Daphnia pulex: one gene and its partners. The protein of the gene in region 1 purifies or fractionates together with the protein of each later gene. This does not show direct contact. Links are inferred from orthologs where the notes say so. Each region holds a gene or a part of one and is shown on either strand. Other genes may lie near its edges. The genes, in order: probable ATP-dependent RNA helicase DDX23, U5 small nuclear ribonucleoprotein 40 kDa protein-like, U4/U6.U5 tri-snRNP-associated protein 1-like, U4/U6 small nuclear ribonucleoprotein Prp4-like, small nuclear ribonucleoprotein Sm D2, CD2 antigen cytoplasmic tail-binding protein 2 homolog and 116 kDa U5 small nuclear ribonucleoprotein component-like.

Region 1 (3,956 bases):
TGTTGTTCTAAACGTGATTCAACGTGATTCTTAACAACATGCTAGACGTCTGTAAAGTTTAGGATTAATCCGCGGGTCCAGTGTCTACGCATTCCAAGTTTCAAGGCTTTCAAATGCCAAGACTAAACAAAATCTGTTCCCTATTATTTTTGAAGGCCTAACAATTCTCAAGGACGAAATGTATGGGCACTGCTATTTGCGGAAGGACGAATGTGATGGAAAAAGAAAACGTTTCAAACGGATGGAGCAGACGACTGTAGAACAAAAACAAGGAAAAACAAAAGACTAACGAAATTTGGGCTACTAGTAAAATAGAAACTTGTTTCGAATTTCAAAGAATTACATTCACCACACACAATACTTGTAAAAATAGGTGAAATGTACCTTGCACCCAACTACTTGAAGCATTTGTTGCTTCTGGGCTTCATTGGGTCCAATATGTCGACTTTTGAATGCCTGCCGAGCGGGCACGACGCGGTCGAAATGCGTTCCGCAAATCCGCTGCGCAGTATTAAGACTTCTCGAGCTGGTGCGGATGCATTCTTTCAGAGGACCCACCACTCTCAATAGATTCTGCATCTTTAAGGCCAATTATTACACAACGTGAGTCAAATGAAACAACACCGCAGGGCACTGTTACAGCACTATGGGAGACTGTGCAAGTAACACCTCACCACGACGAGCGCACGAAACGAAATGAGCGAATCGAGAGGTTTGCATTCGACTTTTTCAGTGCGGACGAAACGGGCGACTTTGACCTGGTTGTGTGTGTGTGTACATAGGAAATGTGGGGGTATAGGCAATAAGGTGGAGGGGGGGAGATATGTACATAAGCGAAACTGATCCCGAACCAGCGCGAAGCGGTTTTTCAAAGCTCATTTGGCGCCCTTGGGCTTCAGTCCATGGCCAATCCGCACGCGGATCCTTTCACTGCCATCAACTGCTGGGCATTATTTCGACTCGGCTAATTTTATTTTGTTGACGTATAGGTAACTGCCCAACTGCGATGTTGGCCAGAAAACATTGAACTGAAACGCATTTAACGATCGAATCTACCAAAGTTACATAATACAATCATTTTGTAAAAATCAAAACGCTAAATTTGTTACAGACCCAGACATAAGTTGACACTTGGTCGAAATAGATTTAGGCTAGCGATAATTCAGTGCAAACAAATAAGTGTCAAAACGGATTTGTCCAAAGTATAGTTTTTTTTTCCTTTTCAAGGACAAATGTCGTATGTTAAAAGATAAGGTGCAAAGTGCCGGGAACAATTCCTATACGTACCAGTGCGTGTAGATTGGCTTCAGCGTCAGTCGTGGTGCAACTTGTACCGAAGGTCTACCTCTCAGCCGAGAGATAAATACGTACGTATGATCTGAATTAGGTTTTCCCTATCATCACATCGGGACTAGTATAGACAGTTCACGCAGTATCACAAAGATTGCCTGTTTTATTAGACAAAGCAGCTAGCCACTCGGCAAATATTAAATTTTAATGATAACAGGAGAGATTCCAATTTCAACAACAACAACAACACTTTCTATAGACTATTAATTCATATCTTACCCAAAATCCAACACGAAACAAACAAAAACTAGAGCGCTGACTAAGAATAACTGCAGCTCGATTGCTCGGCAAGTTGTTGATTAAAAACGGCGTTATTATTACGTAATAACTGTGGGCTCGTCTCTGCCGGTCAGCTCCCGCAACTTGGAAATTCGAAGCGCGATCTGAACAAGTGGTTTCAACATGACCTAAATTCAATACGGCATTTATCTTTAAAAGCTTCAGGGTTACATCAATCAATGTCAATATGGTATACCTGGGCGTCAAGCAGATATTTATCAGCATCGGACTCGTAGCTATCGATGTAAAGGCGGACAGTAGCCCCTGAGCTTCCAGTGCCGCTCAGGCGAATGACAATACGCGATCCATCTTGGAAAATGATCCGCAATCCCTTTAGGATCAAAATGAATTAATACTGACATTTTTATTTCCGTTAAAGACATTTGTAGTACCTGTTTGGAGGAGAGGCTACCATCGATGGGATCGGTATAAGAAAAGTTATCGGCCAGGGCCACCGTAAAAGATTTGCCATCGAATTCGTGAACAGAACCGATGAACGAGGGTTCGTTCATGAGTGCCTCAAGGTCGGCCATCATTTTGTTGCAGGGCTCGGAATCACAATTTTCGTAATCGTATCTAAAAGGTCAATTCAATGTCATAAGTAACGTTACATAAATGTGTTACGTAACCTCTAATTCACCTCGTGAAGAAGTTTCGCCCGTACAAAGTCCAGTGGTCTTTTAGAATTTGTTCGACTGTTTGTTTCCTGGTGGCCAGAATAGACAACCAGGCAAGAACCGCCCATATTCCATCTTTTTCTCGAATATGATCTGAGCCAGTTCTATTAAAATTGCAGATATGAAATATTTTCATAAATAAAATTCGAATGTACTAAAATTTACCCAAAACTTTCTTCGCCGCAAAGCGACAGTTGTCCGGCATCCATCAGATTGCCAAAGTATTTCCAGCCGGTGGGGACTTCGTAGATACTTTTCTGCAATTTGACGGCAACCCTAATAAAAAATTATTTAGTTAAAACAAATTCAGTGGTCCAATAATGTAATTAATACCTATCGACAGCGGCACCAGTAGGCATGCTTCTGGCAAATCCTCTAACTCCAGTTTTACGGAAGTAAGGAATACAATCCATATTGTTGGCGATGACTGCTAAAGAGTCGGAAGGGGTGACGAAGAAGGCTTTCTCACCCAAAATCATGTTTCGATCCTTCATTTAAATACACACATTGAAATATTGAGTTAAGTTTAAGAGTTAATGAAAGTTAATTACTCCATCTCCATCAAAAGCGGCTCCAAGTCCGAAATCGCCTTCTTTCATAGCTTGAACCAAGTCGGCGGCGTAAGTAAGATTCGGGTCAGGATGATGTCCTCCAAAATCTTCCAGGGGAATAACATTTACGACACTTTGTGCGCTAGCTCCAAGCTCTTCGCAAAATATGCGGCTGACATAAGGACCGGTCACTAAAAAAACAGTGGTCAGCCAAATGGTGTCGTATTTAAAGACTTTTTCAAAGATCAATACCTCCGTGCATTGAATTGATCAACACTTTCAGAGGGGTTTGACCTGTTCCACAAATAAGGTTTTTGATAGAACCAAAATCAAAGATTTCTTTCATCAACTCCAAATAATCGTTGACAGAGTCTACGACTTCAACTGTAAATGGGTGGCCTTCAATCTACAAAGAGTGGAACATGGTATGAAATTTTGAATGACATCACTAATTTTAGCTTTCTTACATCAAATTGCTGAGTTCCAATGGTCTTAATATCACATTTCAGGTCTGGTACTGTAGAATATTCCTTGATTCCAGTAGAAAGCTCATAGATTTTGTTGGTTACACCATCAGGTGCAGGCCCACCGTTGGAGGTGTTAAACTTGATGCCGAAATCGGCATCAGGACCACCTGGATTGTGACTGGCAGTGAGCAAAATTCCACCGTTGGTCTTATACTTGCGAATCATGCAAGAGACTGCAGGAGTAGAAAGAATTCCGTTCTGCCCAACAATCAGCTTGGATACCTGTAATGACATCACATTAGAACCATATTTTTAAAACGGAATAACAAGGATCTGTACCTTATTGGCAGCACAAATGCGGACAATGATCTCGACTGCTTGGTGCAAGAAATATCGTCCATCTCCACCAAGTACCAGAGTCGAACCGGTTAGAGCCTCACCAAGTCCTCCAGTTAACAACGACTGAATAAAATTTTCCGTGTAATGTGGCTGAGAAAATACTTTAACCGCTTTTCTTAGGCCGCTAGTGCCAGGTTTTTGGCCTTCAAATGGCGTTGTAGGTACTTTTATTGGACTCAACATCTTAGTTTTTCTCCCGTAGTTACAGCACAAGAGACTGAGACTAGAACTTT
Region 2 (4,173 bases), on another chromosome or scaffold:
TAATGTCATCAACAGAACTCGAGAGACAAACACAAACAACTTAGCTGAAATTTTTTAAAACTACAAGAAAACAAAACTTCCACATCATTAAGTAATCTCTCTCTCTCTCCACAAAACGTTAGTTTAAAAAGAACGACAAAATAAAACAAAACCCAACAAAATGTGTCGTGACAAAATTGTGAGCCTGGAATCAAGGGTGTGGGAGTTTTATGATAGTCCAGATGTGTGAAAAGATCAATAAAAAGTGGTGGCATTCTTACCTTGGCAACCGATGATGCACTGTTGATGTTACTGCTAACCGAATGTGCAGCCAAAAAGGCGATGAAAATCGCCATATGTATTCTGGGATTCATTTTTGAGAGAATTTCCTGAGCGTTTGAGAGTCTGCCTTACGTGTGTGTGAGAGGGTGGAGAGAGAGATTTTTTCAGTATTATTTATTTTAAGAGCCGGATATCCGTTTCTAAAGTTTTCTTCCAAGATTTTTGTGTTATTTCAATACAAAAGTGGAGAACGTGGTCGAATAAATTAGGATAGTTGCAGCCTTTTGTCCGTTTTTCTAATTTTCTAAACACAGACGGTGATGCTCTCAGGTCAGGCTGGGCATTTTCTTTCTTTCTTTCACACTTCTTCTCTCTCACAGGCGCGCACTCAACCACACAGTTCACTGGTGAAGCCAAAACGATGGCCGAGTTTTACTCGTCGATTCGGGGACGGAATGTTAAATATCAACAGAACAAAAAGAGTTGCCGGGAATTGGCGTGATTTCGAGACACTTCTCGATGTAACCAAAGGCCGAAATGGATTAAAAGATCCCAACTCACGCCCAGATCATCAAACACACCAGCCGAGAGCCGCCATTAAACTGAAGGGACTGGATTTTTCTTTGTGTCCCTCCGCCGCCATTGGGTACCAAAAACTCTGCCATCTGGCGGCAGTTTTCAGCTCCTCCCCACTTTCTCCTCCAACAACATAGACGTGGAAATTATACGGACGAATGTAAACCACACACACGGGAAAGAAAAGGAAAAACAAAAATCAATCTCATCATTTCCTCATCATGTTGGGAAAAAATGAATGACTCAATTTAGGTCATGGATTCAGCGCTCAAAATATCTTCATCTCGAGAGACTAGTTTTGTTCTTTCCGACGCACCAAATTTCGTTGGAATGGAAAAGAAATCCCAGACATAGCGACTATCACATATACTGGTGAAGTCGTTTTCTTGCGAGTGTTAAAAAACTAGAAGGTCCTCTGTTCTATAGTCACACGGACACACAAAACTTAAGAAAATATCGAGGGGAGAGATTTAATGTTTGTTGTTTCTCCCTCCTTCTTCTAACACTCCTTTTCTTTTTTTACGATCGTGGGTTCGCCTGTTTTCCGGCCCCAATAATACCCATTGTTTTCCAAGACTGCGCGGGTGTTCATGAAATTCCTCGAGTTACAACTTCTTTTTCCCAAAAAAAGAAAGAGAAAAAGGGTTCGGAAATTCTTGAGCGATATACCACTGTGACAGCTTTTCCCCATCTCAATTTTTATTCTTTTATTATACCAAAGTCTTTCCAAGTTTCCAACAAGATTTGGAAAAGGCGACCACTATAAAATATAGATCTAGCAAGAAAAGGCTTCTGCTCCGTCAGTAGTAGTTGTCAAAACTTTTTCACTTTTTTTTTCTACAACTTGAAAATTTTCTTAAAAGTCTAGAAGCCGGAGCAATGGCGCTTGTGTCAGTAAACAATCCCAGCAATAATGAATTGGTGTCGGCCACCTCGGGTCAAGTGGCCCTGCAACAGGTTTGATTTATTTGTGTTTTATTTATAAACTTTTAAATGAGCCGAATGCATCACAAAAGAGAATTGCATCCAACCACATGCTGACCAGCTTGTGTGTTTTGTTGTTGTAGATGCTATGATGAATTCAAATGTGATATTGACTTTTTCAATAAACAGGGACCAGCAAGAACGTCTAGCCTCATGGCTCCTATAATGCTCCTGGCAGGACATCCTGGAGATATCTTTAGCCTGAAGTTCCATCCTGACGGCCAGTTTTTGGTTTCCACCGGGTTCGACAGACAAATATGTAAGCATCATATATACATTTGAGCATCTCTACTGTTTGGATAATCAACCTCTTGTTCAACAGTTTTGTGGAATGTTTATGGAGAGTGTGAAAACTTTGCTGTGTTGTCTGGTCACACCGGAGCAGTAATGGATCTTCAGCTGTCTACCGATGGTGATACCATTTACACTGCTAGTACAGACAAAACCATTTGTTTGTGGGACACCAGAACAGGAGCTAAAATCAAGAAACTGAAAGGTATACCATTGTCACTGTCCCATTATTTAGCAATTGAACCCAACAACAATTTGTTTCAACAGGCCACTCCTCCTTTGTCAATGCTATTCATCCTGCACGAAGAGGACCTCCTCTTCTCTGCAGCGCCTCAGATGACTGCAACATCAAAGTCTGGGATCCAAGAAAAAGAACCGAGACAGTATCATTAGATAATTCTTACCAAGCGACTTCCGTCACCTTCAACGATACCGCCGAACAAGTCATTTCCGCAGGCATCGACAACGATGTTAAGGTGAGTTCGCAAAATTCAATTGTTGTAATAGAGAGAGAGAGAGAGAGAAGAAAAACTATGGGACCAATTTCCAAGAATTTGAATTAAGCCACCGATTCGGCGAACTTCATATTCCGTGTGAGTGGGAGAAAGTCACAAACTTGAGTATTTTTCTTACAGAATTGATTAAAGTTCTCAGTATTTTTACTTGATGGCTTCAAGAGAATAGTTTGGCAAAAAAGGAAGGACCTGCAGTCATATTCTGTCTTTGTTGTAAAAACTAAAGTTTCGACATTGTTGATTGTTTTCTACTTAATATTGAACCATATTCGTGCAAGTTCTGTCTTACCCTATCATCGAGTTCATTTTCCTTGAAGAGTGCAAGGGATTTCAACTTTGGTATTCTGATTATCGCGTGTCTCACCTTGATAAGGTCACCAAGTCCTTCCTTACTTCCAGGGCCCCTTCTCTTTGATATATGAATGGGTTCACTAATGTAAGCTCGTAGGCGAAGTTTTTAAAATTAATTCAAGTAATTTCAGCAGTAGGGTCTCGTCAAATGTCCTAATTCCATCCTAATTACTGAAGATGCGCATTTTTGTGTTTTGTCAGTTTGAGGCAAATGTGAAACGCTGGAAGCGGATTCTGATACTTCTTTGCTTGTCAGATGGTTGCACATTATCGATCAAAACTTTTCCCCGTAATACTTATGACAATTTTGCGACATCTTTAGGAAGAATTTACTCTGAAAAATAGATAATTTTCACTTTTTATCGATTATCTTTTCGTTCGAACTAAACCCATGTTAAGTTTTCTCCTTTTTTTGGAAGATATTCATTTTAAAACCTGAAAAGTAGTTTTGCATTTGCGATATTTCAACTGGTCCTGGCCTTGAGCTATTCACGTGAATATGGAGAGATAGGTAAATCATACACTTTCCTTTTTAGGTCTGGGACTTGAGAAAAAATGCTCTCCTCTACTCCTTGAAGGGCCATTCCGACACTGTGACCGGCTTGACTCTCAGTCCTGATGGATCTTACGTGTTGTCAAACTCGATGGACAACTCTTTACGTGTCTGGGATGTACGACCTTTCGCTCCTCAAGAACGTTGTATCAAAATGATGGTTGGCCATGCTCACAACTTTGAAAAGGTATATACAATGCCGGCGAATTTCTCAATCCATTCTAATACCTTGTGTAATGTTATAGAATTTACTTCGCTGCTCATGGTCACCTGACGGAACCAAAGTTTCAGCGGGATCTGCCGACCGATTCGTTTACATTTGGGACACTACATCTCGCCGCATCATTTACAAATTACCTGGTCACAACGGAAGTGTCAATGACGTTGTATTTCATCCTAAGGAACCTATTGGTAATTTACGCAGCAAATCAACATCAAGGACATCAATTAATTTCAGATTTTTTATTTTGAATGAAACATAGTTGCATCCGGTGCCAGTGACAAGCTGATTTACCTAGGCGAAATTGACGCTTAATTAGGAAAGGTTATAATTTTTTTCAGTTGAAACGATGGCAAGGATCGAGGACGAATAAACAAATAATTCTTTTACGCATATTTACAAAATTGCATTTAAATTAATCG
Region 3 (4,156 bases), on another chromosome or scaffold:
TCAGTCAAACAGTTTCAACGGGTATGGCGTCCCCGAATTATTTAGGCAAATCAAGAATGACAATGTTACCCTCTGGTTCAGTAACAAATTTCATAGCAGCTTTGCTGCGGTTAACCGGGAACCTATAAACAGTTGATAACAATATTCGGTAACATACACACACAAGAAATTTAATTTGTAATGTGAAAATAAGATTACCAGTCATGTACTACACCAATATGTCTAGTTGATTTCATCTTGCAAAAAGGAAGAATATGTTCTTTGAGGATGTTGTTGTATGTTCTTGAATCGAACTTGCCAGTCACTCTGCACAGAGAAATATTTGGATGGAACGAAGATATACCACCAAAAAACAACACAGTATTACCAGTTTATTTCTCCGAACCAAAATGCAACTCTATCTTGCTGTTTTTGTCGTAACTGGAATTAGGCAACTTCGAACTGGAATTGAGCAATATTCCTAACGATTCAACAAGCGATTCGCCACTCAAAGAGGCCGTTTTTGATTTAGCGGAAATCGTCGCTAGGGGTTCTAAAAATTAACAAATAGATGGGTTTTGTGCAAAATTTTTCGCTAAGTCGATTGCTGAAAACCGCAATCGCCTAGCTTTTGTAATTTGGGAGATTTTTTTAAAAAAACTGAGAGGGGGTAGCCGAAATTTGGAATTTTTTTCGTTTTTTGTGCAGCAGTTTTCTCGTCAACTGCTGCACCTGGAAATATTCGAATTGTTTCATAATGATGGGATAGCCCACCTCTTCAAACAATTTTCATGTTTTTTCGATGCTCGGCTCAGAAGCCGAGATATTAACGATTGAAATTTTTGAAAAAATTTCTAAAAATTTCTTCGTTTTTCGGCCATGCCGGGCTTCATCCTATAAGCCACCTAGCGCTGCGAAAATCGAGAGGGGGTGGTCACCCCAACAGACCCTATATTCAGGGTAAACGTGGTCCGATTTGGAAACTGGAATGAGCGCTCTAGTGAGTGTGTCAGCTACTACGCTTAGCTACTTTTGAGAGCCTAGATGGCTCTGTTTCCAGTTTCTACTTCACAATTCTGACAAGCTCCGCCCTAAAATGTCTGAAAATCGGGGATACGTTTACCCTAAAACCGGGATAGGGAAGCCAACACAGCCGAGAACCGACCAGGCATCTATTGCTCTGGTTCTGCTATCGGCCGCAGTGGTGCGCATCGGCGTAAACTGCGCAGGACTTTTTGTTCGACTACTACTTTTTCATTGGAATAACATCTATAGTCTTTGAGGCGATCAGCCTACCTCACTAGCGAACCTGGTGCGGAATCTTGGAACCCTTAGTATAAACAAAAATCGACAACGACATTGTTCGTTTTGGACTTTTGGTTTTGCCGCACAAGTCTTCACATGTAAAACAAATAGTTAAAAACTATACTGGCCTTAATGTTTTCATTATGTTTTTCCTTTATTGATTTACGGATAAATTTATCTTCTGTTTTCTTTTTTTAAGTTTTATTCAATAGGAGGATTAACACGCCATCTGTTGCGGAATCAATGGATTTGTATTTGTCCCCGCTTTCCAATCCCGCATTTAGCAATTTACCAACACCCAACGGCATCAAAATAAATATTGCAAAAGCTGAAGTCTGCTTCTCAGTTCTCAAGTTCTGAAGTAAAATTGTTGCAAGATCATTAAGTGAATACAGATTCTGGTACCCTACTTTTATTGTTTGATATTTTAAGGAATTCTATTGAAAAAAATTTTATGTTTAAAGAAATCAAAACTTCCCACCTAAGTTAAACTACTTTCTTTCAGTTCTTAAGGAGACATGGACCGAAAAGAAAGTCGCGATCATAATAATTTTCGAAAAAGAAGACATCGTTCCCCATCTAGGTCTCCGTCAAGATCACATTCAAAAAGTTATGCCTCCGTCAAATCCAAACAAATAAAGGAAGATATAAGTCTCAACATTCAGAGCGAAGAACTGTTGACAGGTATGTATTCAAAATTATGTTTATTAGTAACTAGTAACCAATAATTTTTTTTAAGGAAAAGGGAATGATGAAAGACCAGTTGCTAATTCAACCAATGATACTTCCATTTCGATTGAGGAAACCAACAGAATAAGAGCTGAACTTGGTTTGAAGCCATTGGAGATTGGAGGAGAAAATTCAAATGTTGAAGCCAGTACTGAGAAAAAGGATGTTCATGTCCCAGCAGGTAATGATTTCATTTAAATGTCTTTACTTGTACAATTTAAATGTGGTATTTCTCTAGAGAACCTCCGTGAAAAGAAAGCCACAGAAGAGTTGAGACGAAAACTAGATGAAAGACGAGAAAAGAGGCAAATAGAACAAAAGCTTGCACAAGTGCGCACTCTTGCTCATACAACAGCTGATGATGATGACAATGCTGTTAGCTGGGTTGAAAAATCAAGAAGGATTCAGAAAGAAAAGGAAGAAGCTAATAAAAGAGCAAAAATGCTTGAAGAAATGGATGAAGCATTTGGTGTAGGAGATATGGTAACTACTGAACTGATTAAACAAAAAGCAAAAGCATACACAAGTAGAGACTTACGAGGAATAAAAGTAGAACATGACCGGGTAAGTCACCGACAACGTATACTTTTATTTGAATACCTGTGTTGATGTTGCTTTATTTTGTTAGGAAATGATAGCTGAAGGGAAAGAAGTAGTATTGACTCTTAAAGATCAAAACATCTTGCAAGAGGAAGGGGATGTTTTGGTGAATGTCAACCTTGTTGATATAGAACGCTACAAAAAGAACAATGAAATCAAGAAACAGAGACCGGGATATCAGCCCTATGAAGAGGAAGAAGTTGATGAATTGGGCCTTCCCAAACCAAAGCTCTTGCTTGCTAAATATGACACAGAAATAGAAGGAGAAAAACATGATAGCTTTGTCCTAGGTAAAATATTAGATTTGTTTTGTTGATCTTTACAAAAATATTTATGTTAAAATTCTAGGTAAAATTGGAGATGAAGAAGCCAAAATGAAAGCCCAAAAGTTGATGAAAGACAAACTCAAAATGCAACAGAAGAAAATTGAATCACTGGAATCGCGACCGCTCCAAATTGCATCTGAATATTATACAGCAGAAGAAATGGTTTCCTTCAAAAAAGTTAAACGTCGCGTCAAAAAGGTTCGATCCAAAGGCGACGGCATTTTAAAAGCTGACGATCTTATTCAAGAAACGCAAGAAACAACTTCGTCAGACTTGGGATCGAGATCTCGAAAGAAGAGAATGGATGAAGAGGTCACAGAAGGTATTTTAGTTTGACTAGTATATTGTTTTATTATTACTTATTATGTCTTGTTTATCCAACGCCAGATTTAAGCGGATTCAAGATTACTGTAGACGAATCCCAAAAAGAAATACGTCAGGCACTATTAAAAGCTAATAAACTAAAAGAAAGGAAGGCTGATCAGTGGGACATGAACATGATTACGCGGTCATTAAAACGCGAGCCTTTGGAAGAAACGGAAGGTATGGAAGAGGATCCTCTGAAGAGTAGTATCATACTGAATGCCACAGCAGAATTCTGTCGTACTCTTGGTGACATACCAACCTATGGTATGGCAGGCAATCGTGATGAAGACGAAGATGAGTTAATGGTAATTCATTGCATGAATGTTTTTTTTTTTTTGGTTTTGACTTTAATTAATTGCGTTTCTGTTTTGGCAATAGGATTTCGAGCGACAGTTGGCAGAAGAACGCAGAAGAAATCAAGAAAAAGAAGAGCGAAAAAGGGAGGCTGAGCGTCTTCAAGAACGCGGTGGATGGAATGTTCTGGAACGTGAAAACGATCAAGGTTCCGACGACAGCATGGATGTCGATCGTAATGAAAAGGGTATGTATACTGTGTTCTCGTCACTTTTATTGTTGTCAGTGTTTGCATTTTTTTCTTTTCTCTCTGTAAAATAGATAACGCTACTGTTATCCTGGACGAGGAACCTGATGTCGGCTCGGGAATGGCTGCAGCTTTGAAATTGGCTATGAGCAAAGGCTATCTGGAGAAAGAAGAGAAGAAGAGGATAGTTATTTCTAAGTCCGCCCAAGAGCTGCAGGCGCAGCGCTACACCATAGAAGATAAAGCAGCGTACAATTATTTTGTGTTTTGTTTATACGATATTCAGTTATTCTTATTTTATTTTGTTATT
Region 4 (3,736 bases), on another chromosome or scaffold:
AAATCAGACATGACACATTGATACGTTATAATGTAGAAATGTCGAACAAAAGTTTTCAAGAAAGTTCTTGCTTTGGAATTAGATTGAAAAGAAACGGCGTCCGAATTTTGTTTGGGTCCGTGCCGGCAGAACCCAATTTTACCCAGTTATGGAATCCATGGAGCAAGGCAATTCCCTGGTTAACGTTTTTATCGCATCCACTACTTTCAAGTAAAAAGATTGCAATTCTGTTAATCATTATTCGATGGATGTTAACTCTTATTTTTACCTATGAATTTTAGCTGAACACACGACTCCTGCTATATTCGACGTTAAAGATTTTACAGTCAACCTACAGCGAACTTTGCAAAACGAGTACCAGGGTTTAGTTGAATACAAGCCAATTATAATGAATTCGTATTTAGGGCTTCCAGCATTAGTACACAACTACAGTCAATTCGGATTTTACAAAGTACGAGGGAAAGTAAGTTTTTAATACTCCACCCAATCTTCCCAACCAATAGGCTTCAACTTTTTTGTATTTAATTTATTAATGTTTTCGAAGTCCAATACACAAATAAAGAAATCAAACAAGCATGGTCGTCTTCGAAGCTGCACTCTATACTTCTACATTTATTCAGGGGACCAAAGCTTGTAAGTGCGATCGTACGAGGCTGTGGCGATGAACGACCCGTCAGGCGATACATCAACTGCCATAACCTGTAACAATAAAATAAAAAAATTGAGAAACACATCACAAACGTATCTGATTAAAAAATTTACTTTTCCGTCATGTCCCGAAAGGGTTTTCAATGGTTGCCAAGTGTTACTCGCCCATATCTAGGGCAGAAAATTATTTCAAATATATATAGATGACAAATGTAACATTTAAAGAATGCAGAAAGAAAATCTATTAATGATTATTCATACCTTTGCGGTACAGTCATATGAAGATGAGACAATATACTGTCCGGAACTTCTTTCGAATTTCACGCTCGACACTAAATTTGTGTGTGCAGGAATAGTATAGATACAGGATCTCTTACGTAAATCCCATATTTTACAGGTATTGTCTTCACTTCCAGTTACTATGTGGTAGCCATTAGGTGATATATCGATGCCCAAGACACCTTTTAAATGACCTTCCATAAACATGATGCAGCGCCCAGTTCTGAGGTCCCATACTCGACCAAAAGAGTCCATGCCACTAGAAAAAATTCCACATGTAATTAAAATATTATGTTAACATATTTTTAGGTGTTGGTACCCTGTGATAGCCACTGAACCATCAACATTGAATGCTATGTTGTATACAGGTTTGGAATGCCCTTCTTGATGAAGAACTTCTACACCCTGTTCTAGATCCCATAGCCTCCAGGAATTATCAAAAACACATGTAGCTAAAAATCTTCCAGAAGGATGAAATTCAACTTTTGACACTCGATGCGGAGCATGTCCTTCCATATCAGCAATCGGCTCTTCACTTTCTAAATTCCACAATTTGACTGCGCCGTCCATGGAACATGAAGCCATATTTAATTCTGAAGGTTCTAAGCTCAAGGTGGCTTGTGGATGGAAGACTATTGCTCCAACACTACACTTGTGGCCTCTCAATGAATGAGACAAAGTGCAGTCAGGTACATTCCACAATTTACACAGGCCACTCCTAAAACATGAATTGTTTTTTATTATCTGATTAACTCTCTTACAATCTCAGAATATTTAATACCAGGAGGCAGTGGCCAACAAATTTCCACTTGGGCTGAATTGGCAATATGATATTGGTCTTCCATCACCAACTTGGCTGCACATGATGTTCATACCTCTCATCCGTTTCACCATTTCCTGCCTGGAAAAGAAAAAATATATTAATTGGGATGTGCTTTCATAACAGAGCATATTTCAGACCTTTTGGCTGTTCTTGTTGATTCTGGTATTTCAGATTCAAGTTTCACATTAGATAACCTTTGTTTTGCTCTGGGGAGGGAATAATATGCTAACCACAAACGAGCAATTTTGAGTGATTCAGGACCTTCATGATACCAAGTGGTTTCAGTTTGATCTTTCTCAACCTTCACAATTTCTTTTTCATCTTCTTTTTTTCTATCGATCAAATCATGTCCATGAACCGAGAGTAACTCTTTTAATCTATTTCGGCGATCAGCAGGTCCTTCACCAAAAAGGGTTATTGGTTCACCTAATTGCCTAAGATGTTTCCGAATTTCCCCATCGTCAATTGTGATAGCGAAACCGGTTGTGGACGACATGTTTAAAGAAATGTGTTTTCTAATTGAACTTTTCCTGTTTTGATCTCAATGTTTAAATATTATAGACACCGACACCTCGTTTTGTCACGTTTTTGTTGTCAATACGATCGTTCTTAAATCTTAAATAGACTTTTACAAGCCAGACGACTCCCAAACGAAAAGCGACTTACGGTATGAAAAAATCATGTGCAGCATACAGAGCCACTGGTGGAAAACTGGAAAACTATGTTCCATGTACTCATTCTTCGGATAATAAACTGCCGCTCGCAAAAGAAATTTTAAATTATGATGTGTGATTTATTACACTACCTAATATACAAAACAGCCAGTCTGAATAATACCTGAATACTGAATCTTCGGTTTATATTACCAATTTGTGATTTCGATTAGAAAAAAATTATTCGCACTCATAGTGCAGCACATGCCCATCTGGGATTTTTTTCCAAAAATGATTTTGTTGCAACCTATAAAATTGAGGTTCAGCTCAGCATACAGTTGTTAATAGCATAAAATGCCTGATATGCGATCGATTACACATGCAGCAGACTGTGTAACAGACTGTGTAACAGGCCAATTTGGTGTACGGAAACATTAGGGAGTATACTAGGCCTAGTATAGGGACATAACCAAAAATGATGTTTGAAATATCAGATTGTCAGTTCAAAATTTGGTTATCCATTTTATGCATCTAATTTTAGAAAACTGTATAATAACTACAAAGAATTGTTCTTAATAAAGATCTGTATGAGAGGGAAAGGAATAAAGGATGTATTCTATTAACGCTTTAGATACAGAAATTTTATATTCTTAGTATTTCGTAGGATTTCCGGATATAATTATACATGCTTAAACACGGCATTATTTATTGGAATTTGGCAATTTGCAAAGAGACACAAGACACCACACAGACTAAGATTTGAAAACCTGTCGGATCCTTCCGCCCTTGCCGCTATTGAGTGTGTGGGCCGGTCTTTAGCTCCGGGCGTCATCTAGTTGGAGCTTGGTTAGTCAAAAGCACTGGCATAGGAAAACTGATCGCTTGACCGGCCTTCAATAATACAAGGCAGACACACTCAAACAAGCATTTTATATTTTGGAAGTTTGCAAATTTCAGGTGGAAACTATTTGGTTACTTTCAGCATGGCTGCTGGACCTGTTTCAGAAAGAAATCAAGGTAAGAAATTTAAGTTTATTATGCACTAAAATGAAATGACTATGTGAAATTTTTATCATTTTCAGATGCTACCATTTATGTTGGTGGGTTAGACGAAAAAGTTACGGAGCCCTTGCTGTGGGAGTTGTTCGTTCAAGGTGGTCCTGTAGTAAATGTGCATATGCCTAAAGATCGGATTACTTTACTGCATCAAGGATACGGATTCATAGAATTCCTCAGTGAAGATGATGCTGACTACGCATGTAAAATTATGAACATGATAAAGCTGTATGGTAAACCCATTCGGGTAAACAAAGCATCAGCACACCAGAAAAAC
Region 5 (2,761 bases), on another chromosome or scaffold:
GACATGACAATATCAACGTTACTCACCATTTTGGACTAAGAAAAAAGTCTAGAAAAATTTCACGCAAAGCTCAAAGACGCCTAAACTGAAAGATCAACCCGAATGACTGCGGGATGAGACGGCACTGGGGGGAGTGAGTGGTGCGAGTGAGAGAGAGAGAGAGAAAATGCCCTCGATAAGATTTTACTCGTGGCGCGGCGAAAGAAGAGGGGAAACTCAGAGTAGACTTCTCTACACCGGCCGGGACCTCGCACTGCAAAATGGCGGCTGTTCCCCAAACTTGAGAAAACTTGGCGCTACCCAGTCCACACCCAGAAAAGCGCGTCATCTGGGGGTGGAATACAGCGCCGTCAAACGATGCCTATTTCGAACCATATTACAAACTTCACTAATTTATCACAAATAAAACATATAATGATAGGCGCATCATTTATCATTTTAAAAATAATTTGTATGACTCTTATTCTGTTTGCTGTTATGTAAAATCTCAAATGTCGTTAAATGAATTCGGGTAACCGCCAGGGGTCTCTGCTTGCTTAGCGATTGAAGGATGATGCCGATTGTAGAGAATTTTGTGTGTACTGGTTGCACATTCTCTGATTGGTTGTCCATATCGGGCGCTTGTTAACCCGAAAAAGGGGAGCCCAAACCACAAACCTGGAGAGAGTTACGAAAAGTAACTTTTTCTGTAAAATCCTCTACTCGCAGATTTTTCTGCTTGAGCAAAAAGTTGCCGACTCTAAATGATCATTCCGACTTCCTAATAAATGGTGTGCATCTCGCATGAGTGTTTTAACGAAAAAAAAAAATTATTGGGCCAGTTGCACACTTATTCTTTCATTCAGTTTCTCGGGGAGGATGACCTTTTATGGGCAGACATCGATGACTCACATTTTTACTTCCCCTCCCTCTAATCTGCCCTCCCCTCCCCTATGTATTAAAAATCTGAAACTCTCGGGACCGGTGTCGACAACTTTCTCTGTTTCTATAATTTAGACCAAAAAGTTTCAATTGCCATAGATCGCCTTCGCACAATGAACAGCCGATAACAGCGTGATTCGAAAGTTTTCGCCGTTTCAGGATGACTTATCAACAACGCTGGAAAGCGTTCTCCATTGGGGACCATGAGAAAGAATAGTCTGTGCATACGGGGGGAATATGTCCATATATGGCATTAGACAAGCTATGCTACATAACATAACATCTGTCGGCTGACAATTGTCAACCGCTTCGGTTTTCTCTTGACTCTACTTTCTGAGGTTTGTATTTCCTTTCCTCTCGACTAAAACGAATTCCAGTACAGAGTCCCAGACGTCTGACGTCTGGGATTGTAAATGTTTTTCTTGGCAAATTTCATTCTTTTCTTTTCACAACAATTATTAGAAATTGAAACGTGTCTCTTAAAAATGTAAGTCAACATTAAAAAACAATTTTTGGCAATTAAATCGCAAATAAGACATAAAATAGCATCAACCGTCTAATGCTAATTAATACAATATGACAACGCAGCATGTACGTTTTGTTTACGAAAAACAAGTGAATAACGGTTTGAAAAGTTAAACGAAGCCGGGCTCAAAAATATTCCAAAGAATATTTCTCTATCCGTTTACATCCTTCTATTTATCATGGCGTAAGTAAAGCTTAAGTTCAATTTCAAAATAGAAAATTTTTAAATCTATATTTTCAGCTAGTTACAGTGTTCCGTGTCTGCAGATTTTTCTCTACTTGACAGTTTCGTATGAGCACTAAATAATAAATGTTTCTTTCCATAGGGCTGTTGCAAATAAACCCAAGTCGGAGATGACACCGGAGGAATTGGCCAAACGGGAAGAAGAAGAATTCAACACTGGACCACTTTCAGTTTTGACTCAGAGTGTAAAAAACAACACTCAGGTCTTGATCAACTGCCGTAACAACAAAAAGCTACTGGGACGTGTTAAAGCTTTTGACCGTCACTGCAATATGGTTCTAGAAAATGTCAAGGAAATGTGGACTGAAGTTCCCAGAACAGGGAAAGGAAAGAAGAAGGTAATTTTCACTATTTCTGCATTCATTCATTCATCTATCAACAGTGACAGTTGTATATTTATTTTATAGAGCAAACCAGTCAACAAGGACCGTTTTATCTCCAAAATGTTCCTACGTGGAGATTCTGTAATATTAGTATTAAGAAATCCTTTGGCTGGTACTCCTGGAGCAAAATAATTGTATGTGTTTATCTCTCACTTTTGTATGAAATAAAAAAATCGAACAGCGGAAAATGTGTTTTATTATCTCGTTTTATTCCAATGTTGAAAGAAAAAGTTACAAAATCAAACTTAATCTTTTTCGGCAATTGCAGTCAGATGCTTATCGATGTCAGTTTCCGACAGAATTCTATAACAATCAGATCAGTCACATTAATTTCCTAAACTTAAATATTTTGCGCATTTTCTTACCTAAATCCTGGTTGATCCTTAGAAACAACTCCAATTTCAATATCAGATGGCTTGAAATCAGCAGTTAGGATATGAGACAGAGTTGTAATAGCAAGCTGGATAACTTCATCATGTGTGTAGTTTTGTTTCTTTTTGTATTTCTTCTCAAGATACGACGATGCCTCGGTTTGTTTAACACCCACTGAAGTAGCACGATAACCACAGTAATATCCTTGAAAAAAAAGTAAAACAGCAATAAAGCATACAATTTGAGAACTTTACACCCTATTTTAGATATATACCTGCTGGGTCAGCTTTGTATACAGCAGGCCCCAATTCTTCAT
Region 6 (3,250 bases), on another chromosome or scaffold:
AACTCTTTGCAGGAGGAGGATTACCAAAAGAATACCAATCGCTAAGTGAAACATTAAATGGATTGTGTATTATGGTAAGAAAGCCTGCAATTGAGCTTATACATTATCTGAACAAAACAAATTTTGATGCTCCAGTTCTTAGATATGTGCTGTGTAAGTTACCTTTTTTTTCATGCCTTTAATAATGTTAACAAACCCTTTATAAGTATTACACCATTTATTGCAGATGGAAAGACTGGAGTTGGAAAATCTCTTTCTCTAGCTCATATTGTCCATTATGGTAGCAGTGCTGGATTTGTTTTAGTTCATGTTCCGTGGGGTAAGAACTAAGGAAGATTATTACTAAATATTTTGTGCTAATAATACCATCCTATTCAACTGATTTTTAGTTCCCAAATGGTTTCAATACGTGAAGGTTGCCACTCCTTCATCAGTTCATGCAAATAAGTATGATCAACCAATTGAAGCAGTAGAATGGTTAAAGCATTTTAGCACACAGAATGGACATCTGTTGGATAAATTAGAGGTGATATAAACATATTTATATGTTCTTTTTGTATTCAGTAGTTTTAAGCCAATGCTTTTCTATGTGTACTCATTATGGGTTTTCTGAACTTAAAATAACAGCTGAAGACAAGTAACACCTACACTTGGAGTAAACGAGAAGTGACTGCTGAAGGATCTCCTCTGAGTGAATTGATAGATTTGGGTCTCAACAGGGCCAAATATGCAACTGGTTGTATTGTTGCTTTGTTAGATGAACTTAAAAAAGCCGCTTCAAGCAAACAGTACGTTTCATAATGCAATTTTGAATCATATTAAACCACGGTTATCTTACGCAGATGCCGCGTTCTCGTGGTTATCGATGGATTTAATTCTTTCTTTTCACGGAAATCGAACGTGATCAGGGAAGACAAATCCATGGTTTTACCCTCAGACTTTTTGCTAACGGATGCATTATTGTCTCTTACAAGAAATGATTGGGTATAAAACATAAATAGTGATTATTGGAATGTTATTTGATTTCAAAATATGGGTTGAATTTAGAATAACGGAGCCGTCGTAGTATCAGTTGATCCATCGGCTCATCCTCCGGAACTGCGTGAATCACCTCTGCCTAGATATCTTCTTGGAAAAACAGTATTTCAATTTATGGTATTCATACAACAAATTAAACAACTCCGTTGCCATCCATCTAGGGTTTCGAACATCTAGATCCTTTCGTCCCGATCGAAGTACAGAACTATAATGACAAAGAATTTCGTTCGCAAATCGACTATTACATTGAACGAAATTGGCTTCAGCAACCGAAAGCCCGCACGGACAATGGACGAGCTGAACTGAGTTTTACTAGTGGCAAGCATCCATACAGTTTAATGAGACTTGTTGCTCCATATTGATTGGATGATTATTAACAATAAAAATAAAAGTCAAATAATTCTTAGTCCGAAATCATTTATTTAAAAATACATCGAGAAGACGCGTTCTTTAAATCTGTTTGTCTCCTTTATCCTAGAATAATCAATTCGAGTTTTATCAAAGAAAATGCCGAAAAGGAAACACCAGGAATTAGAAGAAGACACGTTAGAAACAGGAAATGTCGACCAAGGAGATTTTTCTGACGGAGATGACAGTGGTGAAGATGATGAAAAAACTGAAAAGTATGAGATGATGCGAGAAGATGATATAGAAGGTAATAGAAATAAAATATCAGTTTCGAAGAAATTATCCACAATTCATTTCTACTGTCCCAACAGGCCAAGAGGACCCTACCCAAGAATTTGATGGAGAAGTTCAGATTACACCATTTAACATGAAAGAAGAAATGGAAGAAGGGCACTTCGATAAAGAAGGGACATACATTTTTGGAAAGCGGGAGAAAGATGAAGTGAAAGACCATTGGCTGGACAACATAGATTGGGTTAAAGTGAATTCTCAAGCAGCTTCCAACAAAAATCCATCAGATGAAGAAAGTATGGATACAAATGATTACTTGAAGAAATTTGATCCCATTCCTGTATATAAAGAAATGCTGGCCATACTTTTACCTGGTGAAACAGTTCTAAAAGCTTTGAAAAGATTAGGAGGTGGTAAAGTTCAAACAGCATCTGAGCGATGGAAGAAAAAGAAAAAGCAGCAAGACGAAGGAGACCACCAAACAAATGAATTGAATAAGGAAAACATAGCCAAATTAACTGAACATGCGAATAGCATTCTTTCTAATATGGGAAACATGGATGTTTATCAAGAAACTTTTGAAGGGATACGTTTCAAGATTAAAAAATCAGAAGAACCTGTGACGCAATCGACAAATGATCTCGATATGTTTGGAGATATGTTCGATGAAAAAAATAAAGCTGACTCCAATAAACGGGAATCGGAGTCAGTCCAAGGAGAACCCATTACCAAGAAGGTTCGGTTTGATGAAGGCGAAGGTCAAGCTAAAGAAGACGAAGTAAAACCAGAAACTGTACAATGGGAATTCAAATGGAAACAAGAAGAAGATGCAGAAATACACGGACCGCATAGCACATCAGAGATGCTTGACTGGGTTTGTTATATGATTATTAGTGTTACTTTGGCTAATTATTGTTCTAATATACCACATATTTATAGGTAAACCAAGGATACTTTGAATCGGGTGTTTGGGTTCGCCGTGTCGGACAACCAGGAGATTTCTATACCTCACGGCGAATCGATTTTGATCTATACCTTTGATTCGTATAATAATACATGTCCTTTCACTTTTATTACCTAATGATGAGAGCATGAGACGCTATTTAATTAATTATTTTTCAGCAACTTGATCAAGATATCAGACATTTTTATTCTTTAGTTTAGTTACTTCAGTAAACATCTTCATTTTAACAATTAAACGGTGCCCTACCGGTTTACGGTACTACCGGGTTGCAATGTGTTAGTGGCACGGGTTATCATCACTATTCATGTATCATGTATATTGATTTAATACCAAGATCTACCGGTTCACCACGATTCAGCGTAAAATACAAGCAAAAATCGAAAGCTTTAATTTTCGATAACGTAACGTTAACAAATAATGTGAACCATCTGTGAACCAAACATAGCCGTCTAATTGATTACATATAACGTGTATAGTTAGTTATTCAAAAACAAGAGAAACCATTTTAGAGTACTTTATATACGTATAGTTGCATGGGAATTGAAAGTCGACGCTTTCCTTCGGAAATAAACAAACAAATTTCCATTAAATTTCCCCCGTTAGATTATG
Region 7 (4,169 bases), on another chromosome or scaffold:
GCCGAATTTTATAATTGGGGTGGAGATTGTTGGCTCGACCAATGTCGAGGTCTAATAACATTCCGTCATCACCACGAGACTTGATTAACAATCAATCATTTCGTAAGTCTAATGTGTCCAGGAGTCCAGTGAACTACAATCGCTTCATCCATGTCGAAGGGTATTGTGTAGTAATGAATGCCGTCCAATAATCATTGCGATCCATTAAGCCTTGACTCCCGACAGACTACACCGCCGTGGCAATGCACACCGGACAGTATAGTGACCCCCCCGCAGACACAAAAAAGATGATGGATAGAAATTTAAAAAGAGAAAAACAAAACAAACCAAAAAAAAAAAAAATCTCAGTCAGAGTCTGTCGGGCTATTGATTGGACACCCCCACGGAAAATTCACGCACGAGGAATAAGGAGGAGGAAGTCGATTGCTGCTGTTGGCCAAGTCTAAATGTGTGCAGCGACATTCAACCGGGTACATTCTATCCGCCTACACAATGGATGACATTGCTGCAAACAACAAAAACAGAACAAGCAACTCGAAGCATCGCCGATAACGGTGATTATATCCCGAATAAAAAAAAAAAAAAGAACCATCAACCGAGAACCCATGGACAGAAGGAGAACTCTAGTTGGGCTGGGCTGGGCTGGTCTACATCACCGAATGGCCGGCATTGATTTTGTCGATCTGCCCATATCATCCCAAGTATTTTTTGGGTTTTTTTTTTGTGATTTCCTTTTGGCAACAACAAACCAACAAGCGAATATATAAATCGGGGTCGCTCGTCTGTAGACTCGTCTGCAGATAAAGACGTCTAATATATCTTTCCATACGAGTCGGCAGCAATAAATCATATAAGGGCACTTGCCCATCCAGGGGGCTTCCATCGCCCGGCAAAACTGAAATTCTGCACTGTGTGCGTAGACATCAGACGACTGCTGAGATTTATTCCGTTATTCAATTCAAAAACATGACGGCATTTTACTCCTTATTTCGCCCGCTTTGATTGATATTATCGCCCGTGTTCGACTGACTTTGTTTCTCCTACAAAATGTTTTTTTCCGTCGTGGACCCGACCTGATAGCGACTGACACGTCATCTATATAAATTCACAACTAGATTTCAGTTTCCAGTGCACAAGCAAAAAAACAGCGCCAGAAACATTTCCTTATTCGGGTAGGGAAAACCCCGCCCTCAACGGGATTCCCATTTGCATTTTATTACGCTGTGAATTTTTTTTTTCTCTTTTATTTTATTTTTATTTATTTATTTTTATTTTTATTTATTTTATTCATTTTATTTTATTTTCATTTTTTTTGCCACTCATAATCCACCTGCTAGCTGGTAGATGGCGCTGTTCTTAAATTCAGATTTCATTGGCACCCGCTAGATGTCGCTAGTGTCGCTCGTTTTGAGCGCGTGCAAATCTGTACGCATAGTAAACGCATTTTCTTGAAAGGCCCGGCTTTTCTGAAATTCCCTTTTGAAACAGCTTTATAACTGTGAGTGTTGGGTTAAGCCGAATACCGATCGACAACATCCAAAGTATCTGCCCAATTTACAGACAGCAAACGACTCAGTTGACTGTCAAGAATGGACGCCGATCTCTACGACGAATTCGGCAATTACATTGGACCCGAACTCGAGTCAGATGAAGACGAAAATGAGGAAGGAGACGAGGCTGATCACGATGACGAAGCCGAAGACTATGGTGACAATGATTCCGAAGAGGCCATGGATCAAACGGTGGTTGATGGCGACGCACAGATGGCCATTGTTTTGCATGAAGACAAAAAATACTATCCATCAGCGTTGGAGGTTTACGGACCTGGTGTGGAGACACTGGTGCAGGAAGAAGATGCTCAGCCCTTGACTGAACCCATCATCGCACCTGTCAAACGAAGGAAGTTTCAGGTACCACAAATTGTTTCGCTGCCATATTTCATTTTGTTGATTAACCTGTTTCCACCCATTTTCATTAGGTTGCTGAGCAAGAACTCCCTGAAACCACGTATAACATGGAGTTTTTGGCTGATCTCATGGACTCTGCAGAACTTATTCGTTCAGTGGCCCTTGTTGGTCATTTGCACCATGGCAAGACTTCCTTCATGGATTGTCTGCTCATGCAAACACACCCAGATCTCCAGACGGGAAAACCTGGCAGTGGAGAGGAGAAGCCTGTCAGATACACAGACACACTCTTTACTGAACAAGAGAGAGGTGTTTCCATCAAAGCGACGCCCATTACCGTGGTCATGCCCGACCTGAACGAAAAATCCTTCCTCCTCAACATGTTCGACACACCTGGTAAATTACAGTTTTCCAACTTGCAAAATGGGGGGGAAAAATGTATTTAATCGATTTTGATGTTTCTTAAAGGTCACGTCAACTTCTCAGATGAAGTCACGGCTGCCCTGAGACTTTGCGATGGTATCGTCCTCTTTGTCGACGCTGTCGAGGGTGTCATGCTCAACACGGAACGAATCTTGAAGCACGCCGTCCAGGTAATTAAAAAAAAAAAAAAACTTCAACTTGGTTATTCCAAGAATTTCTTTTTAACCCTGTCCTTTCATAGGAGAAAATGGCCATCACAGTTTGCATCAACAAAATCGATCGACTCATTTTGGAGCTCAAGCTGCCACCTCAGGACGCATATTACAAGTTGCGCTACATCATTGAAGAGATCAACGGTCTTTTGGGCCTGTACAGCGACGAAGAGAATCCAAAATTCGTGTCGCCCTTGTTGGGCAACGTCTGCTTTGCTTCTGCCCAGTTCTCCGTTTGCTTCACCCTTAAATCCTTCGCCAAACTTTACAGTGACACGTACGCACACGTCCACAATGGCAATGACGGTCTTAAATGAAACTTCATTTTCTTTCATTTTAGATACGGATCCGATATCAACGACAACGAGTTAGCACGTCGTCTGTGGGGTGACATTTACTTCAACAGCAAGACGAGAAAGTTCACCAAAAAGCCGCCACATAGCTCGGCTCAGCGAAGTTTCATCGAGTTCATTTTAGAGCCGTTGTACAAAATCTTTGCCCAGGCATGTACCAAGGACAACTTTGCAGTTAATTTGAACAGTTGATTCATTTCCAATATTTTTTGCTTGTTTAGGTTGTGGGAGATTTGGATTCGAGTCTACCGCAGTTGCTGGACGAACTTGGCATTCGCCTGACTGTCGAGGAACAGCGGTTAAACACTCGCCCCTTGTTGAGACTGGTCTGCAGTCGCTACCTGGGCACTTTCAGCGGTATGTCAATTAAAATGTATGTTGAATTGAAGCAACGGTCTTTAAATGTCAATGTTTGACTGGTGTGTGTAGGTTTCGTGGAAATGTGCGTCAAACACGTCCCGTCGCCCGTAACGGCTGCTCGCACCAAAGTGGAACACATTTACACAGGTCCCCTGGAGTCCATCCTGGGCGAAGACATGGTCAACTGTGATCCCAACGGCCAACTGGTTGTCCATACTACCAAACAGTATCCCACAGAGGACTGCACTGGATTCTATGTCCTGGGTCGTGTCCTGAGTGGGACCCTTCACGCTCACCAGAACGTCCGACTCCTGGGTGAAAACTATTCGCTCAATGACGAAGAAGATTCACGTGTGTTGACGATCGGTCGACTTTGGATATACGAGGCCCGTTACAAGATCGAAGTCAATAGAGTAACGGCAGGCAGTTGGGTCTTGATCGAAGGGATCGATGCCTCAGTGGTCAAGACGTCGACCATCGTCCAGGTTCACGTCGACGAGGACTTGTACATTTGCCGACCCTTGAAATTCAACACGCAATCCATCATCAAAATTGCCGTTGAGCCGGTGAATCCCAGCGAATTGCCCAAGATGTTGGACGGTCTGCGTAAGGTTAACAAATCTTACCCGTTGCTCTCGACGCGAGTGGAGGAGTCGGGCGAGCACGTTATTCTTGGAACAGGCGAACTTTACCTGGACTGTGTCATGCACGATCTCAGGAAAATGTACTCGGAAATCGACATTAAAGGTTTGCCATTCATTTCTTCCCAACTGTTAATTCTTCTAATTTAACTAATTCACTTTGGTTTTTCTTGTAGTTGCTGATCCTGTGGTGTCTTTTTGCGAAACGGTCGTGGAAACGTCCTCACTGAAATGTTTTGCCGAAACTCCAAACAAAAAGAATAAAATCACAAT

What was found.
Region 2: the proteins of probable ATP-dependent RNA helicase DDX23 (region 1) and U5 small nuclear ribonucleoprotein 40 kDa protein-like purify together in Homo sapiens (affinity purification with mass spectrometry; 3 studies listed by BioGRID and IntAct, counting the BioPlex papers as one, with this or other methods). This does not show direct contact. The link is inferred for Daphnia pulex from reciprocal best matches to the Homo sapiens genes DDX23 and SNRNP40.
Region 3: the proteins of probable ATP-dependent RNA helicase DDX23 (region 1) and U4/U6.U5 tri-snRNP-associated protein 1-like purify together in Homo sapiens (affinity purification with mass spectrometry; 3 studies listed by BioGRID and IntAct, counting the BioPlex papers as one, with this or other methods). This does not show direct contact. The link is inferred for Daphnia pulex from reciprocal best matches to the Homo sapiens genes DDX23 and SART1.
Region 4: the proteins of probable ATP-dependent RNA helicase DDX23 (region 1) and U4/U6 small nuclear ribonucleoprotein Prp4-like purify together in Homo sapiens (affinity purification with mass spectrometry; 4 studies listed by BioGRID and IntAct, counting the BioPlex papers as one, with this or other methods). This does not show direct contact. The link is inferred for Daphnia pulex from reciprocal best matches to the Homo sapiens genes DDX23 and PRPF4.
Region 5: the proteins of probable ATP-dependent RNA helicase DDX23 (region 1) and small nuclear ribonucleoprotein Sm D2 purify together in Homo sapiens (affinity purification with mass spectrometry; 3 studies listed by BioGRID and IntAct, counting the BioPlex papers as one, with this or other methods). This does not show direct contact. The link is inferred for Daphnia pulex from reciprocal best matches to the Homo sapiens genes DDX23 and SNRPD2.
Region 6: the proteins of probable ATP-dependent RNA helicase DDX23 (region 1) and CD2 antigen cytoplasmic tail-binding protein 2 homolog purify together in Homo sapiens (affinity purification with mass spectrometry; 6 studies listed by BioGRID and IntAct, counting the BioPlex papers as one, with this or other methods). This does not show direct contact. The link is inferred for Daphnia pulex from reciprocal best matches to the Homo sapiens genes DDX23 and CD2BP2.
Region 7: the proteins of probable ATP-dependent RNA helicase DDX23 (region 1) and 116 kDa U5 small nuclear ribonucleoprotein component-like purify together in Homo sapiens (affinity purification with mass spectrometry; 6 studies listed by BioGRID and IntAct, counting the BioPlex papers as one, with this or other methods). This does not show direct contact. The link is inferred for Daphnia pulex from reciprocal best matches to the Homo sapiens genes DDX23 and EFTUD2.

What each region holds. Positions count from the first base shown.
Region 1 is NC_060019.1:348,406-352,361, forward strand, and holds the start of probable ATP-dependent RNA helicase DDX23, read left to right. Parts: upstream 1-1,156; 5' UTR 1,157-1,367; intron 1,368-1,435; exon of another isoform or gene 1,436-1,667; coding exon of another isoform or gene 1,668-1,757; intron 1,758-1,825; coding exon of another isoform or gene 1,826-1,960; intron 1,961-2,021; coding exon of another isoform or gene 2,022-2,205; intron 2,206-2,269; coding exon of another isoform or gene 2,270-2,410; intron 2,411-2,471; coding exon of another isoform or gene 2,472-2,582; intron 2,583-2,639; coding exon of another isoform or gene 2,640-2,794; intron 2,795-2,857; coding exon of another isoform or gene 2,858-3,048; intron 3,049-3,109; coding exon of another isoform or gene 3,110-3,263; intron 3,264-3,324; coding exon of another isoform or gene 3,325-3,606; intron 3,607-3,663; coding exon of another isoform or gene 3,664-3,906; exon of another isoform or gene 3,907-3,956. Other genes in the region: glycine dehydrogenase (decarboxylating), mitochondrial-like, read right to left, coding at 385-579; phosphoglucomutase-1-like, read right to left, coding at 1,668-1,757, 1,826-1,960, 2,022-2,205, 2,270-2,410, 2,472-2,582, 2,640-2,794, 2,858-3,048, 3,110-3,263 and 2 more. UniProt on the Homo sapiens protein: Involved in pre-mRNA splicing and its phosphorylated form (by SRPK2) is required for spliceosomal B complex formation.
Region 2 is NC_060027.1:3,204,468-3,208,640, reverse strand, and holds U5 small nuclear ribonucleoprotein 40 kDa protein-like, read left to right. Parts: upstream 1-1,373; 5' UTR 1,374-1,716; coding exon 1,717-1,794; intron 1,795-1,950; coding exon 1,951-2,080; intron 2,081-2,143; coding exon 2,144-2,317; intron 2,318-2,379; coding exon 2,380-2,588; intron 2,589-3,514; coding exon 3,515-3,718; intron 3,719-3,776; coding exon 3,777-3,942; intron 3,943-4,013; coding exon 4,014-4,066; 3' UTR 4,067-4,146; downstream 4,147-4,173. Other genes in the region: syndecan-like, read right to left, coding at 261-353. UniProt on the Homo sapiens protein: Required for pre-mRNA splicing as component of the activated spliceosome. Component of the U5 small nuclear ribonucleoprotein (snRNP) complex and the U4/U6-U5 tri-snRNP complex, building blocks of the spliceosome.
Region 3 is NC_060026.1:10,447,501-10,451,656, forward strand, and holds the start of U4/U6.U5 tri-snRNP-associated protein 1-like, read left to right. Parts: upstream 1-1,356; 5' UTR 1,357-1,382; intron 1,383-1,483; 5' UTR 1,484-1,685; intron 1,686-1,766; exon of another isoform or gene 1,767-1,789; 5' UTR 1,790-1,802; coding exon 1,803-1,968; intron 1,969-2,023; coding exon 2,024-2,194; intron 2,195-2,251; coding exon 2,252-2,577; intron 2,578-2,641; coding exon 2,642-2,903; intron 2,904-2,961; coding exon 2,962-3,261; intron 3,262-3,326; coding exon 3,327-3,610; intron 3,611-3,683; coding exon 3,684-3,846; intron 3,847-3,920; coding exon 3,921-4,095; intron 4,096-4,156. UniProt on the Homo sapiens protein: Plays a role in mRNA splicing as a component of the U4/U6-U5 tri-snRNP, one of the building blocks of the spliceosome. May also bind to DNA.
Region 4 is NC_060018.1:6,530,833-6,534,568, reverse strand, and holds U4/U6 small nuclear ribonucleoprotein Prp4-like, read right to left. Parts: upstream 2,387-3,736; 5' UTR 2,247-2,386; coding exon 1,888-2,246; intron 1,829-1,887; coding exon 1,709-1,828; intron 1,646-1,708; coding exon 1,247-1,645; intron 1,187-1,246; coding exon 910-1,186; intron 820-909; coding exon 763-819; intron 700-762; coding exon 613-699; 3' UTR 501-612; downstream 1-500. Other genes in the region: tumor protein p63-regulated gene 1-like protein, read left to right, coding at 83-210, 282-475; splicing factor 3B subunit 4-like, read left to right, coding at 3,387-3,420, 3,486-3,736. UniProt on the Homo sapiens protein: Plays a role in pre-mRNA splicing as component of the U4/U6-U5 tri-snRNP complex that is involved in spliceosome assembly, and as component of the precatalytic spliceosome (spliceosome B complex).
Region 5 is NC_060018.1:305,221-307,981, forward strand, and holds small nuclear ribonucleoprotein Sm D2, read left to right. Parts: upstream 1-1,237; 5' UTR 1,238-1,408; intron 1,409-1,477; exon of another isoform or gene 1,478-1,509; 5' UTR 1,510-1,625; coding exon 1,626-1,630; intron 1,631-1,772; coding exon 1,773-2,028; intron 2,029-2,097; coding exon 2,098-2,205; 3' UTR 2,206-2,261; downstream 2,262-2,761. Other genes in the region: cofilin/actin-depolymerizing factor homolog, read right to left, coding at 27-29; proteasome subunit alpha type-6-like, read right to left, coding at 2,319-2,376, 2,439-2,649, 2,720-2,761. UniProt on the Homo sapiens protein: Plays a role in pre-mRNA splicing as a core component of the spliceosomal U1, U2, U4 and U5 small nuclear ribonucleoproteins (snRNPs), the building blocks of the spliceosome.
Region 6 is NC_060022.1:6,690,472-6,693,721, reverse strand, and holds CD2 antigen cytoplasmic tail-binding protein 2 homolog, read left to right. Parts: upstream 1-1,463; 5' UTR 1,464-1,545; coding exon 1,546-1,693; intron 1,694-1,757; coding exon 1,758-2,551; intron 2,552-2,616; coding exon 2,617-2,718; 3' UTR 2,719-2,750; downstream 2,751-3,250. Other genes in the region: 28S ribosomal protein S29, mitochondrial-like, read left to right, coding at 1-153, 227-319, 390-526, 628-788, 843-984, 1,048-1,140, 1,200-1,400. UniProt on the Homo sapiens protein: Involved in pre-mRNA splicing as component of the U5 snRNP complex that is involved in spliceosome assembly.
Region 7 is NC_060028.1:8,367,612-8,371,780, forward strand, and holds the start of 116 kDa U5 small nuclear ribonucleoprotein component-like, read left to right. Parts: upstream 1-1,369; 5' UTR 1,370-1,589; coding exon 1,590-1,910; intron 1,911-1,978; coding exon 1,979-2,303; intron 2,304-2,375; coding exon 2,376-2,500; intron 2,501-2,571; coding exon 2,572-2,819; intron 2,820-2,882; coding exon 2,883-3,045; intron 3,046-3,116; coding exon 3,117-3,252; intron 3,253-3,324; coding exon 3,325-4,002; intron 4,003-4,072; coding exon 4,073-4,169. UniProt on the Homo sapiens protein: Required for pre-mRNA splicing as component of the spliceosome, including pre-catalytic, catalytic and post-catalytic spliceosomal complexes. Component of the U5 snRNP and the U4/U6-U5 tri-snRNP complex, a building block of the spliceosome.